3 linked regions of the Macaca mulatta genome follow. The protein of the gene in region 2 purifies or fractionates together with the protein of the main gene of each other region. This does not show direct contact. Links are inferred from orthologs where the notes say so. Each region holds a gene or a part of one and is shown on either strand. Other genes may lie near its edges. The genes, in order: EPB41L3, NUMA1 and WDR76.

Region 1 (4,338 bases), on a different chromosome or scaffold from region 2:
GCCACTAGACTGCTGTCTTCAGGAGTTTCAAGAGCAAAGGTGAGAACTAGTTTGCTTCTTTTGAGAGTGGCCAGAGTAAGCACTTGGCTGCAGGGAAAAAAGTTTGCTTTTAATTTCCAAAGTGGACCCAAGATGATAGGGTCTCATGGAACAAAATCTTTGCTTTGATGCAAGGAACCAGTGCTATGCAGCAGTCTTCCAAGTTACTTACCAACAGTTGAAAGGGTGTGGCTTCTTGACTGGTGCCAAGTGTTTCCAATATGCCCTTGTGTAGCGCCACCTCTGACTTCCTATAGAAAGCCTCTTTCCTCTGCCTCAGCCTGCTGAGGATTCCACAAAACACAGCTAGATGTGAGCTGCATGTGCACACTCCAGTCTCATTTAACAGTGCAACACCTGCACTCTCAAAACCTAGACATTTCCCTAATGGGCTATAAAATGTGCTATTTGGGCAGTTAATTTCAAAATGTTATTAAACTAATAGGCACTTGGCAATGTACCTCTTTCACATAGATACACCCAAGAGTCAGACGTTTCTGGTTGATTGGATGGCTTTCCAGACTTGTGATTGTCATATTTTATAGCTTTTCCTCCTCCAGAACGCTTTACGAAATCCGTTTTCCAGAAAGCACGCCTCCAGGAGCTACTAGGAGGCAGAGTGAGTGAAGACTGGCCTGAGTGCCCAGGGATAGACTGTGCAGTGAACTCTTGTCCAGGTCTTTGGGGTAGAGGTGGAAGGAAAAGAAAGATAATGTTCCCTTTGTTTACTTAGAAGGTCCAAGAGTTGTAGAAAGCACAGGTCTCGTTTTTAGTGTGCACGGGCATATATTCTCATGGCCTGGACTCACAGGCCACAGAATCAAGCAAACACGCATGTGACATACTGAGCCTTCAGGCCTGGAAACCCCGTGGGCACCAGTGGGGATGGCTTTGCAGGCGCTGGAACTGCGGGATCCGCCGCTGCAGGGGTGCAGGCTGGGTGAGAAAAGGGTGCAAGCTGGGTCTACACTGCTCTTCATATTTTGGCGCTTCATGTGAAGTTGGATGATGCTTAAATGAAACAGCCCCCAAGCCACTTTCTGGCCTACATCCCCAGACCGCCGCTGTGAAGTTAACTCTTTTCAGAGATTGCAAAAATTTAATACCAGCAAAAGAAACCAAGTTACCAGGTCCCCTTAAGGCACACGAAAGGACATTTATCATAGCCTCTCCTTTCCCTCCAGTCCCTAGCTACACAAAATTGTGTGTGTGTGTGTGTGTGTGTGTGTAATTCTTTCCCTGCTTGCAGAGACCGCTGGCTATAAAGCCCAGGGAGGCCTGTAAGGAGACCCACACTTTGCGAGCGCGCGGCTCGAGGGCGGGCTCAGGGCGGGGCAGAGCGCCGGGACCGCCCGGGCGCCGGGCGCAGCCAACGAGAGGACCGGGAGGGCGGGCCGGCGAGGGCTGAGCGGCGCGGGCTGTCACAGGCGCCCGAAGCGCGCTGCAGGTGGCAACTTGGAGGTGCCGCCACCGCAGCTGCGGGAGGAGCCCGGGTCTGGCGGCTCCTTCCAGCCTCCAGGAGCTCTTTCCCGCCGCCGAGCCCGAGATTGGACCTCGGAGAATTCGCAAGAAAGAGCCCCTGCGGAGGGACCTGTGAGCAGCCCTACCTCACTCTGCCCTTGCGCTACTTTTTTCCTCCAAGGAAGGTTGTGCCCGCGGGCTGCCAACAAGCTCCGGGAGGGGCCCCAAAGGAAGGCTTCGGTGACCCAGGTGAGCGCCTTTCCCTTCCAGTGCCCCATCCTTCTTGGCAGTCGGGCGTAGGCCGGGAGCGCCGCCTAGCCCCGTGGGTAGGGGCGCGGGTGCGGGCCGCCTGCCCTTGGCTCGAGGTCGACGGGGGAGAAAGCAAGGAAGGGGCGAGGCTGGCCCGACCGGGGGCTGCCGGGCCGGGTCCGCCCGGAAGCGGCAGGGACTCTCGGACCGGCACCTGGAGACTAGGGACGAGCAGAGAGGTGCTTTGAGGCGGACAGAGGGCTTGCGCCCGGTTTAAGCTGGCCGGGATCTACCGCCTGCGCTCTGTGCTGGAGCCGCCGTGGGAGCCGAGCGCGGCGCCTCTGCGAACCCCAGAGCTAGTGCGCGGGGCCCGGCGAGCGCACCAGTCTTCGGTCCCTCGGAGCCCAAGGCCCTGGAGGACGTCATTCCTCTCCGCTCGGGCAACTCCTCCTCCGCCCCGTCTTGCCTCCACCCCTCCGCGCCCGCCGTTTAGCCTATTCGGAGACTCCGTGCTTTTTGCCAGCGCGCGCAGTGGTTGCTGCTGTCACTCCCCTCCCCGCCCTCGCAGGAGTTGGAGCGACCTGGGGTCTGGGTCCCCGGCCCCCGCCGCCTAGTTGTGGGCTGGACGCGAGTGGGGCTGGCCAGTTCTTTGCGAGGAGGGCAGGAGTGAGCGCGGGCTCTCTCTCTAGTGCTCCTTCCGAATCCGTCCCCGCCCGCCCCTGCAGCTCGAACCGCTAGCCCAGAGAGCGGAGTGTCAGAAGCCAGATCTTGTTAGCTCTGGGGAAACTAGGAAGCCTGGGAAGGTGCGAACCTCGCCGATGAGGCCAGAGCCTCCGCCCCCATCTCAGTGTTTCTGCCCCTGCTTTCCTGCTTTCAAGTGGACAGTGGCTTTGACCTCCGCATTCCTGCTTGTGGCGTGGGGGCGCTAGCGGCAGTGTGTGTGTGTGCGGTTTGTAAGGATGAGCGAATGCGATCCTCCGGGAGGCAGAGGCGCAGGAGCCCGTTCCCCCAGCCCGGCAGAGCCGCAGGGACCGCCACCCCTCGCCGCCAGCGGCGCGCAGCTGCAACTCCGCGCTGCCGGTTTCTCTCCTCCCGCTCCAGCTCCCAGTCCCCCCCCACCAACGCGGCATCCCAGGATTAAAATCATCTGGCCAAAGGGTGCGGGTGGGGGATCGAGGTGCTCCCGAGGCGAATGAGGCTGTTTCTCAAAATCCTGGGAGCGCCCCTCGCCCGGCGCTGCATCTTCCGGTGGCTGGGCTGTAAGGACCGGCGGTGGAGGCTTGGCGGAGGCGGGCCCGCGCTCCAGAGAGGCCGTCATGTCACCCGAGAAGCCGACGCTGGGGGCTGCTGAACCTCCGAACTCCCTTTGACGCGTCCTGCTCGGAGCCGGGGAGCTCCTGGCTGGCCGGGGGAGCGCCGCGCGGGAGGTGCGGTGGCCTGGCCAGTGCTGCGGGAGGGCGCCCCGGGCGCGTCGGGGGCTGCGTGGGGGGGCTGGAGAGCGCGCGGGGAGCTGCGGCGGGCTTGGGGCACCCGAGTGGCGCTGGAAGTTGAGCCGGGGTCCGCAGGGCTCGGTGACCGCCCTGGCGCCGCCGCTGCGGATTCGGGAACAGCGGCCACGCGGCGCGTTCGGCCGCCCCCTCGGCCCGCCCGCCGCGGCTTTCGCTTTCCTTCTGCAGAAGTGAAGCCGCCGCCTGGGCTCGCTCCGGCTGGCGACCTTTGCGCCAGAAAAGCCTGAGGTGCTGGAGGCGAAATCCTCCCGGGAGCGAAGGGCGGCGTCCACAAGACAAGGAAAGGGAAGACGCCGGGCTCCGGCGGGTAGCGCAGTCGCGGGAGGGCGGCGCTGAGCGCCAAGGATCCCCGAGGCGAGGCGGACCCAACCCAGCCGGGAGGTGCTGCCCTGGCCCTTGGCGCTCTCTCACAGGGAGCTGGTGGACCCCCCGCCCCTGCCAGTCCGTAACTCCCGTGTAATTCCCTCTGAAGTGCTAAGACTGGGCCGGGAGAGGGCTGGAAGCCACTAAATGAATGAAAGTAGAAACGGTGGTGAATCCCAAATCTAACTATGGTTTAAATCTAAATTCCACGTGATTAGAAACAGATTCTAACCCGGTAGAGCAGGGTCTATGTGGGAGCTCCTATATCGCATTCAAATAATGGCAGTTACTGAGGGACACCGCAAGACTTGCCCCTCCCAGGCTGTAATTGTGCTGCTTTGGGGAGTGGGGGTGGGGTGGGCTCCAGTGTGCCCGTATCATTACACATAATCTAGAACGAGGAAAGAGTGAAGTTCAGGTCGGTTCTGAAATGACCTTGGGAGTCTCCGTCTTCACTTTCCCTTACTTGCCTAGGCAGTTCCCAGTTGGATCAGTTACAGTTCAGACTTGTGACACCAAGGGGTCAAAGAGCCTCCCTTGTAACATTAGATAATAGTCTTCTTAGAATGTGTGGTAACCGTAGGAAAACATTCTCAGTACTGAGGAGCAGAGGTATAAAACCGAAAGTTTGCAACTAGGCTATGACCTCTCAATCCCAATAATGGAAATACAGCTCTTAGTGGAATGTAAGTTATTGAGGGCAGGGTTCTTTCTCATT
Region 2 (4,238 bases):
TACTATTTCTCTTACAGAGCAAGAACCTGAAGCAGATGCTAAGTGCCAAGATCAAGGGCTACATGGTTATTACTAAGTGGCCAAGTTGGGTTCTTACCAATAGCAACCATAACAACTGGTTCACTGAGAGCTTACTTTACACTACGTAATGTGTGAAGTGCTTTACATACATTTTCTCATAATAGGTGGTAAGGCTGCTACTCGTTATTACTCCCATTTTAGGAAAAGAATGCTTAGAAAAACAGACTGATTAACTTGTCCAAGATCCACATCTTATAAACACCAGAGATAGGATTGAAAGGTATACTATAAAGTGAGGGCACTGACTGGGGGAAAAAATAAAAATAAATTAAAAAAAAAGAAAGGTGTACTAGACTGAAGCCCACAACCTTTCAACCTTTCAATTACAGCACACTATCAAACCTTGAAGAGAAAGCAGCTTAATACCCAAAGGCCGAGAAGAGCACAGTGGTAAACTGGATTCAGCTTTGCATATGTGGTCAAGACTGTGGCTGTGACCCCAGCAGAGGGTTACCTTATCCTGCAGGGCTGTGCTGAGCTCCTTCTCCAGCTGGGCCTGCTTCTCCAGCCACTCCTGAGTGGCCCTGCTGTGCTCCTCTGTCAGCTCATTGAGGGCATCCTGTAGCTGCTGCAGGTGACTGGCAAACTCCCGCAGCTGAGATGGGCAAGTGAGAATCCCCATCACCCAGGGTCAATGCTGACCCTACCACTGCTGTCTGCTCCCTGAACCCCAGGGGCTGGATGCCTCCAATTATCCTGCCAACCCTCCACAAACCAATCACAGCCATCACACCTCTAATTCAGGACCATAAATCAAACTTTAGGGTCACAACCCAGTACCCGGGAAGCAGCCAATTAGGGGACAAGGAAAGGGGCAAAATATGCAGGTCTCTGGAGAGACTGCAGCGTAAGACAGGTGCTGGGACATTCTTCTCAACCCTCTCTTGGGGAGCCTTCCAGATTGCCTCAGCCCTGAGGGGCCTCCATGCACACACCACCTTAACACCCACCTTAAAGGAAAGGTCTCCATTCTCCTCCAAAAGCTGGCTGATCTTGCGATCCATCTGGCTCTTCTCTGTCTTCAGGTCCTGGCACTGCTTCAGGGTTTCATGCAGCCGCATGGTAAGGCTGCGAGGGAGGGAAGCAGCGAGAAGAGAGTATGGATGGGCCCCTGGCTGGGTGCACGGAGGGGCGGGAGCCTGGGAAGGCATGCAGGGAGAGTTGTACCTCTCATTCTTGTCACGTAGCTCCTCAAGCTCCCTGGGCTCCAGTGGGCTGGCTGCCTGCTTCTCATTCAGCAGGGCTAGGCGGTCAATGCGCTGCTGCATCATGGCTATCTGTGCATCTGCCCAGAGTGGAGGGAGGAGGAGAGGAGAATCAGCACAGAACTATGTGCAGGAGGGGAAGGGAGGAGGTGGCATAGGGAGGAGGAGGCATACAGAGGAGGAGGAATATGGTATCCAATCTAAGGGAAAGAGAAGATGGGGACAAAGACAGAACCCAACTTCCAGGAGGTCAGCCTGACCACAGGCCCAGGGCTGAGCTCTAAGCTCCAGGGTCCAGCAGAGGGGACAACATGCGAGCCCAAAGGGACATCCTTCTGGCAAGTCTATTCACACATCTGCCAGCGTGCCAGCCACCTACCCTTCTCGGTGAGGAGCTTGCGGTTCTCAGCCAGCTCCAGCTCCAGCTCATCCCTATTACTTCTCTCATCGGCAAGCTGCTTCTTCAGCCGTCTCATCTGGAACTGTGGGGTCTGCAGGATATCGCCCATGGGAGAAGCTGGAGAACCTGAGAGAAAGCTGAGGAGGGAAAAGGCCCAGTTGCATTGGTAAGAGCCTAAGATCTGAAGCAATCAGCAACAGGCAGCAGGAAGGGAGTGGGGTCTGTGAAGTGTCCACTAGCAGCTGGGAGGCCTGTGCACCTGGGTTCTATTTGCAGTGCTACCTCAAGCCTCATGACATGATCTTGAGAAAATTTTTCTTCTCACTGCCTTAATTTCTTTGTCAGAAGAAAAAAAGTGATACATTATCCTTGGCTCTGCAGAGATGTACTAAGAGAAGGGACTTCATTGTAGTCTTTGAGGAAGAAGGGTATTCCATAAACAGGGAACAGCTTTTGAGGGAGACCTTCTGCGCATGACAAATCCCAACCAATTCCCCCCATTAATACTGGGGAGGTGAGGAGATCCCAGATCTACAGGATTCTCCAAGCACTCCTAGAGGCTGGTCAACAGCTTAACTCTAGAAGGTAGGAATGTGAGGAATAGATGGATGCTGAGGCCCTATCCCAGGAGGAAAGGCCCAGAACATACTTGTTCCCACTGGAAGAGGAGGCAACCTTCTGTAGCTCTAGGAAGCGAATCTCCCTCTTGGCCTGGTGGCTAGGTGGGGAGAGCTCTTCAGGGAATGTGCTAGAACAGGTAGAAGGGACAGGAGCTGGGGGTAAGAAATAGACAAAATAAATCAACAAAGATTAGTAAGAAGGTGAAAAGATTTGCATCTTTATGCAATCTGAGAACTTGGCCTTAGTGGGAGTGAATCTGTGGATACTTATATGTAAACTACCAAGGAAGGCACTGGGCAGAACCTGGTGTCTGGGTTATCCACAGTTCCGTGTCTCTAACCAAAATAAAGTGCAGGGCTTCCATTTCTACAGAGCATCACTACTCAGAGCACAGTGGAGTGAGGGTGTTCTCTGGCTCAGAAACTGCACCAAGTGCTCAGCTTTTTCCTCAAGTCCATACTGCAGAGACGGCTTGGGGAGCCCTGAGCAGGATCTCCTCGCAGCCCCCAACAACCTTTCCTATCAGAGCCACTGACTGCCATTTGGAATTCTTCCCCCCAAAGTCTTGTACCTCCAAAATGCCCTCCTCAAAACCCTTCTCTTTCCTTGGTTTCTGTGACCACTTTTGTAGGACTTTCCTACCTCTAATTACCCATTCTTAGTCTCCTCATCTGCTCCTCCCTCCTCTACCCACCCTCTAAGCTCCCAGAGATCTGATGGGGCCTCCTGGCTCTGCCCATAGTGCCCACGGATTCAGTGGCCATCCAATGCTGACTTGCAAACCTATCTTCTGGTCCAGAGCCAGCTCCTGAATTCTGGACTCACATTTCCAACATCTCCACCTGAAGGTCTCATGAGGAACCTGAATACAAGGAACATCAAACTCAATGGCTAGAACTCGCCTAGACCTCCTTCTTACATTCCTATCATCCACCAGCTGACCTCTTCCTCAGAAGACCAGCAGAACGATCACTCTTTCTACTGTAGCACCAGCCGAGACCATTGATATATTCCATACTTAGATTCCTTATCATATTTCCTGGTTTATGTATCTGCCTTTCCACCTAGAACATGTGCTACATGATGGGAAAAACATTTTTTAAAAGACTGTGGGCTGGGCGCAGTGGCTCATGCCTATAATCCTAACACTTTGGGAGGCTGAGGCAGGTAGATCACCTGATGTCAGGAGTTTGAGACCAGCCTAATCAACATGGTTTAACGCCATCTCTACAAAAAATACAAAAATTAGCCAGGTGTGGTGGCATGCACCTGTAATTCCAGCTACTTAGGAGGCTGAAGCAGGAGAACTGCTTGAACTTGGGAAGCGGAGGTTGCAGTGAGCTGAGATCACACCACTGCACTCCAGCCTGGGTGACAGAGAGAGACTCCATCTCAAAAAAAAAAAAAAAGACTGCACATTATCAGCTTCTAAGCCTAGAGTAATGATTGTTTAAAAAATAAAAAACAAAAGTAGGTATGATCACTTGTAAATATCCTACATCACTGCTGCCAGGCAGCAAGGAGGAGCTCCATAGGAACTGAGATGATACATGACCCAGAAATCGACCTACTCCATTACACACACTTTTCCTGACCACCAACTCTGCCTTGTGTTACAGACAGAAACAAACCCCCACCGCACTTCTTGACAACTCAGGATCCTAGTATTCCCCATTTCAGAGATGAGGGGATTCTCAGGAGTATGTACCTACTCACCTTTCCGTAGGAAGTTCTCTAGGTCCTCATTAAGGTTTAGCCCATCCTCATGGTCCAGCACAAATTTAAGAATGACAGCCAACTCAGCCTGGGCCACAGAGAGAAAAAGAACATCACTGAGGTGTTAGGCCTCTGAAAGGATGGCTGCCAGGAGCTCCACCCTGGCAGTGCCAGTCCCTGGCTCCCTCGTGCCCTAGAAGCCTGCTGGATCCCAT
Region 3 (4,338 bases), on a different chromosome or scaffold from region 2:
AGAGGTGGGGTTTCACCATGTTGCCCAGGCTGGTCTTGAACTCCTGACCTCAGATGATCCACCTACCTTGGCCTCCCCAAAGTGCTGGGACTACAGATGTAAGCCACGGCGGCCGGCCTATTTAAGAACTCTTTAAGGACTTACAGGATAATAACAGAAGCAGCGCCAATTTACAAGCTGGGTTGTGTTAAAAAAAAAAATATATATATATATATATATATGTATATATGCTAATTGGAAAGTCAGGGCACATTTCACATTAGAAAGGACTTTATAACTGCGGAGGAGACAAGGGACAGCAGGAACAAAGTTCTGAAGTCCAGAAACAGTATACATTATACAGGACACCATGAAAAGTTTGGTTTTATCAGTAATTTTTGAGTCATGGAGGGCCTTGAAGTTGCTGTTAATGTGATTAACCCAAATTACTTCACCTGTGTTCTACAACTGGGCCTTGAGTGGGAGAAGAAATGAAACTGGACAAGTCTCAGGCAAGAACAGTGTGGGACCCAATTAAGAAACTAAGGAAACAGTTTTGGGTAGAAGGAAACTTAAAGAGAAGAATAGCCAGAATCTTATTTTATTTTTATTTATAAAAGAGACAGGGTCTTGCCCTGTCGCTCAGGCTGGAGTGCTGCACGACCACGGCTCACTGGCCTCGTCCTTCTAGGTTCAAGCCATTTTCCCACCCCTGCCTTCCGAGTAGCGGGGACTACAGACGTATAACACCACGCCAGGCTAATTTTTGTATTTTTTGTAGAGATGGGGTCTCACTATGTTGCCCAGGCTGGTTTGGAACTCCTGGGCCCAAGTGATCCACTCCTCTCGGCCTCTCAAAGTGTTGGGATTACAGGTGTTAGTCACCGCTCCCGGCCTGCCAATGTTTTTCAGAGCGAGATCCCAGTACCACCTGAATCAAAATCAGCAGTCTGAGGTAAAAATGTCAGTTCAGCCCCAGGACTTCCCTAAAGAATTTGAGTCCTTCTGCAAGTTTTCTTTATTTTAGTCTTCTTACATGCAACTTCATTGTTAGAATTCTTTTCTAATAGGGATCTGGGGCACATAAGCTGGTCTAGCTGGTAATTACTGAGTGAAAAGGGGGCAAGATAGGCCTTAGCTGTTTTTATTAAAACTGTAGTCTGTACTGGTCTCAAAGACACATAAGCGATTTTTTTTTTTTTTTTTTTTTTTTTGAGACGGAGTCTCACTCTTGTTGCCCAGGCTGGAGTGCAATGGCACGATCTCGGCTCACTGCAACCTCTGCCTCCTGGGTTCAAGCAATTCTGCCTCAGCCTCCTGAGTAACTGGGATTACAGGCATGTGCTACCGCGCCCGGCTGATTTTTTACTTTTAGTAAAGACGGGGTTTCATCATGTTGGCCAGGCTGGTCTTAAACTTCTGACCTCAGGTAATCCGCCCGCTTCAGCCTCCCAAAGTGCTGGGATTACAGGCGTGAGCCACCGCGCCCGGCCAAAGCGGCCTTCTTTAAGAAGCGCGGGTAACCCGGACTTCCCGCTCTGGCGCTGCGGCCGCTGAGGATCTGAGTGGGCTCCGCCCCGTCCCGGCCCCGCCCCTCTCGGCCTCCCGCCGCAATCTTGGCGGGAAGGAGCCGGCCACCGAGAAGCCGAAAGATGTCCAGGTCGGGCGCGGCGGCTGAGAAGGCGGACTCCAGACAGCGACCCCAGATGAAGGTGAGAAACGGATCGGTGCTTCCAGGTGTGCGCCTGCTTCGGTTTTTGTGAGGGTTATGCGGGACACAGGCCCGGAAGGTCGAGGGCGCCTGGTACCGGGGGTTGGCGGCGATCCCTGCCCTGAGGCCTTCGGCTTTGACGAAAGGTTCTCATCAATAACCCTAGAAATAGTGGGAGAGTCACATCTGGGATTCCCTTTCTTCAACCTTCTGCGTTTGCTTTTGCCACAGTTATGATCAGCTTCACACTCTTTAAATAATTCCAGACAATCCGCAGCTGACAGTGGGGTATTTGCTTCAGTCCAAATGCTAGTCATTATTATTGGTCTGGGAAACTCTGATGGGCACATGTGCCTAGTAAGTGAATTCTGTTGAGGTTAAGGTTAATGAATTACATATCTAGATTTTGGAGGGGAAAAAAAGTTTTCTTACAGGGTGTCAATTTGGATTTATTTATTTTTTTGAGCTTGAGTCTCGCTCTGTTGCCCAGGCTGGAGTGCAGTGGCATGATCTTGGCTCACTGCAACCTCCGCCTCCCGGGTTTAAGCGATTCTCCTGCCTCAGCCTCCTGAGTAGCTAGAATTACAGGCAGGTACCACCACACCCAATTTTTGTATTTTTAGTAGAGACGGCGGGGGGCGGGGGGTGGAGTGGGGGTGGGGGGGTGCGGCGGGTTTCATCATGTTGGCCAGGCTAATCTTGAACTCCTGACCTCAGGCCCTGCCTCAGCCTCCCAAAGTGCTGGGATTACAGGGGTAAGCCACCGCACCTGGCATCAATTTGGATTTATATTGTCATTGTGAAATGGGAATTATTAGATCTGCTGGGGATCCTGTAAGAAAAGGCACAGGACTTGGAATTCTAATACTCTCTTTTCTTTTATTGATCTGAATAGGTAAATGAATATAAAGAAAATCAAAACATCGCTTATGTGTCTCTGAGACCAGTACAGACTACAGTTTTAATAAAAACAGCTAAGGTCTATCTAGCCCCCTTTTCACTCAGTAATTACCAGCTAGACCAGCTTATGTGCCCCAAATCCCTATTAGAAAAGAATTCTAACAATGAAGTTGCGTGTAAGAAGACTAAAATAAAGAAAACTTGCAGAAGGATTATACCTCCAAAGAAGAAAACCACATCTAAGTCTGAATCCGTGCTGCAAAATTCAGCCTCAGCTGTTCATACTGAAAGTAACAAGCTACAATCCAAGAGAACGGCAGATGCGATGAATCTCAGTGTTGATGTGGAAAGTAGTCAGGATGGAGACAGTGATGAAGATATCACACCAGGCGTGGTAAGGACTTAATTAGTAGCTTGTTCTAGTATCTCTTTTTTTAAATGTGAAGTTCTGATAAATTGAAGTTTTTCAAGGCTCTCTCTGGTACAAACAAATTATTTTATCTAATAATGTAAGAATAAATGTAATAATACATTATTATTTTTAAGGTTTAACAAATAACTTCCTTGGGTTATTTTTGCTTTTGCTGTTGATGTGTCAATGAAAGGATTGACTTAATCTTTACTCTGCTTCCCTTTTTCTTTCTTTAAACTTCATATATTTTTGGGTTTACTCATACTTTATGGTGCCTTGCTCACCTTTACATATTTATGTACAGTATATCAGAAGTCATCAGTTTGTGGGATATATGGTATTGACTGACCCTTGATATCAGGGTAGGGAAACTGATTATATGGATGTGTTGAATAATATTTCCTTTAAATGCAAAAGGAGACAAATGACAGAGTAGATAAGATACATGAGAAATGCATTAATTAGTTCTATATAATTCCAATCAACTTAAGGAATTTGGTGTGTAATTTTTTTTTTTGGAGACCGAGTGTCGCTCTGTTGCTCATGCCGGAGTGCAGTGACACTATATTGGCTCTCTGCAACCTTGGCCTCCTGGATTCAATAGATTCTCCTCCCTCAGCCTCCTGAGTAGCTGGGATTACAGGTGCCCCACCATGCCTGGCTAGTTTTGTGTTTTTAGTAGAGACGGGTTTTCACCATGTTGGTCAGGCTGGTCTCTAACTCCTGACCTCCTGATCCACCCGCCTCAGCCTCCCAAGGTGCTGGGATTACAGTGGTGAGCCACTGCGCCCAGCCTGGTCTGTAATTCTTTTGGCTTCTACTGCCTACCGGGAGGGCTGTGCTCCATTCAAACTGACAACTTTTAACAGGATAAGATAAAATATAAAGCACATGACACAATGTTGCTGGAACTCAGGGAACAGAAAATGATAGTAGGGAAAGGGAGATACTATAATTGAAGGGTTATTGTTATGAAATAGAAGTTTGGTTTATGCTTTCTTACCCCAGAGTTAAGAACCAGGACTCATAGTGGGACAGCATAGGATAAGTATTAGATGAATTGGACTTGGGGTTGATAGCCTAGCATGGCCACTTCTTTTTTTTTTTTTTTTGAGACGGAGTCTTGCTCTGTTGCCCAGGCTGGAGTGCAGTGGCGCGATCTCGGCTTACTACAAGCTCCTCCTGCCGGGTTCACGCCATTCTCCTGCCTCAGTCTCCTGAGTAGCTGGGATTACAGGCGCCTGCCACCACCCCCAGCTAATTTTTTGTATTTTTAGTAGAGGGTTCCGCTTTGTTCGCCAGGATGGTCTCGATCTCCTGGACTTGTGATCCGCCC

What was found.
Region 1: the proteins of NUMA1 (region 2) and EPB41L3 purify together in Homo sapiens (affinity purification with mass spectrometry; 3 studies listed by BioGRID and IntAct, with this or other methods). This does not show direct contact. The link is inferred for Macaca mulatta from reciprocal best matches to the Homo sapiens genes NUMA1 and EPB41L3.
Region 3: the proteins of NUMA1 (region 2) and WDR76 purify together in Homo sapiens (affinity purification with mass spectrometry; 3 studies listed by BioGRID and IntAct, with this or other methods). This does not show direct contact. The link is inferred for Macaca mulatta from reciprocal best matches to the Homo sapiens genes NUMA1 and WDR76.

The regions. Positions count from the first base shown.
Region 1 is NC_133423.1:76,749,279-76,753,616, reverse strand, and holds the start of EPB41L3 (band 4.1-like protein 3), read left to right. Parts: upstream 1-1,462; 5' UTR 1,463-1,749; intron 1,750-4,338. UniProt on the Homo sapiens protein: Tumor suppressor that inhibits cell proliferation and promotes apoptosis. Modulates the activity of protein arginine N-methyltransferases, including PRMT3 and PRMT5.
Region 2 is NC_133419.1:72,311,573-72,315,810, forward strand, and holds part of NUMA1 (nuclear mitotic apparatus protein 1), read right to left. Parts: intron 4,112-4,238; coding exon 4,024-4,111; intron 2,460-4,023; coding exon 2,336-2,459; intron 1,824-2,335; coding exon 1,666-1,823; intron 1,367-1,665; coding exon 1,249-1,366; intron 1,150-1,248; coding exon 1,032-1,149; intron 677-1,031; coding exon 536-676; intron 1-535. UniProt on the Homo sapiens protein: Microtubule (MT)-binding protein that plays a role in the formation and maintenance of the spindle poles and the alignement and the segregation of chromosomes during mitotic cell division.
Region 3 is NC_133412.1:21,209,470-21,213,807, forward strand, and holds the start of WDR76 (WD repeat-containing protein 76), read left to right. Parts: upstream 1-1,424; 5' UTR 1,425-1,631; coding exon 1,632-1,691; exon of another isoform or gene 1,692-1,716; intron 1,717-2,585; coding exon 2,586-2,984; intron 2,985-4,338. UniProt on the Homo sapiens protein: Specifically binds 5-hydroxymethylcytosine (5hmC), suggesting that it acts as a specific reader of 5hmC.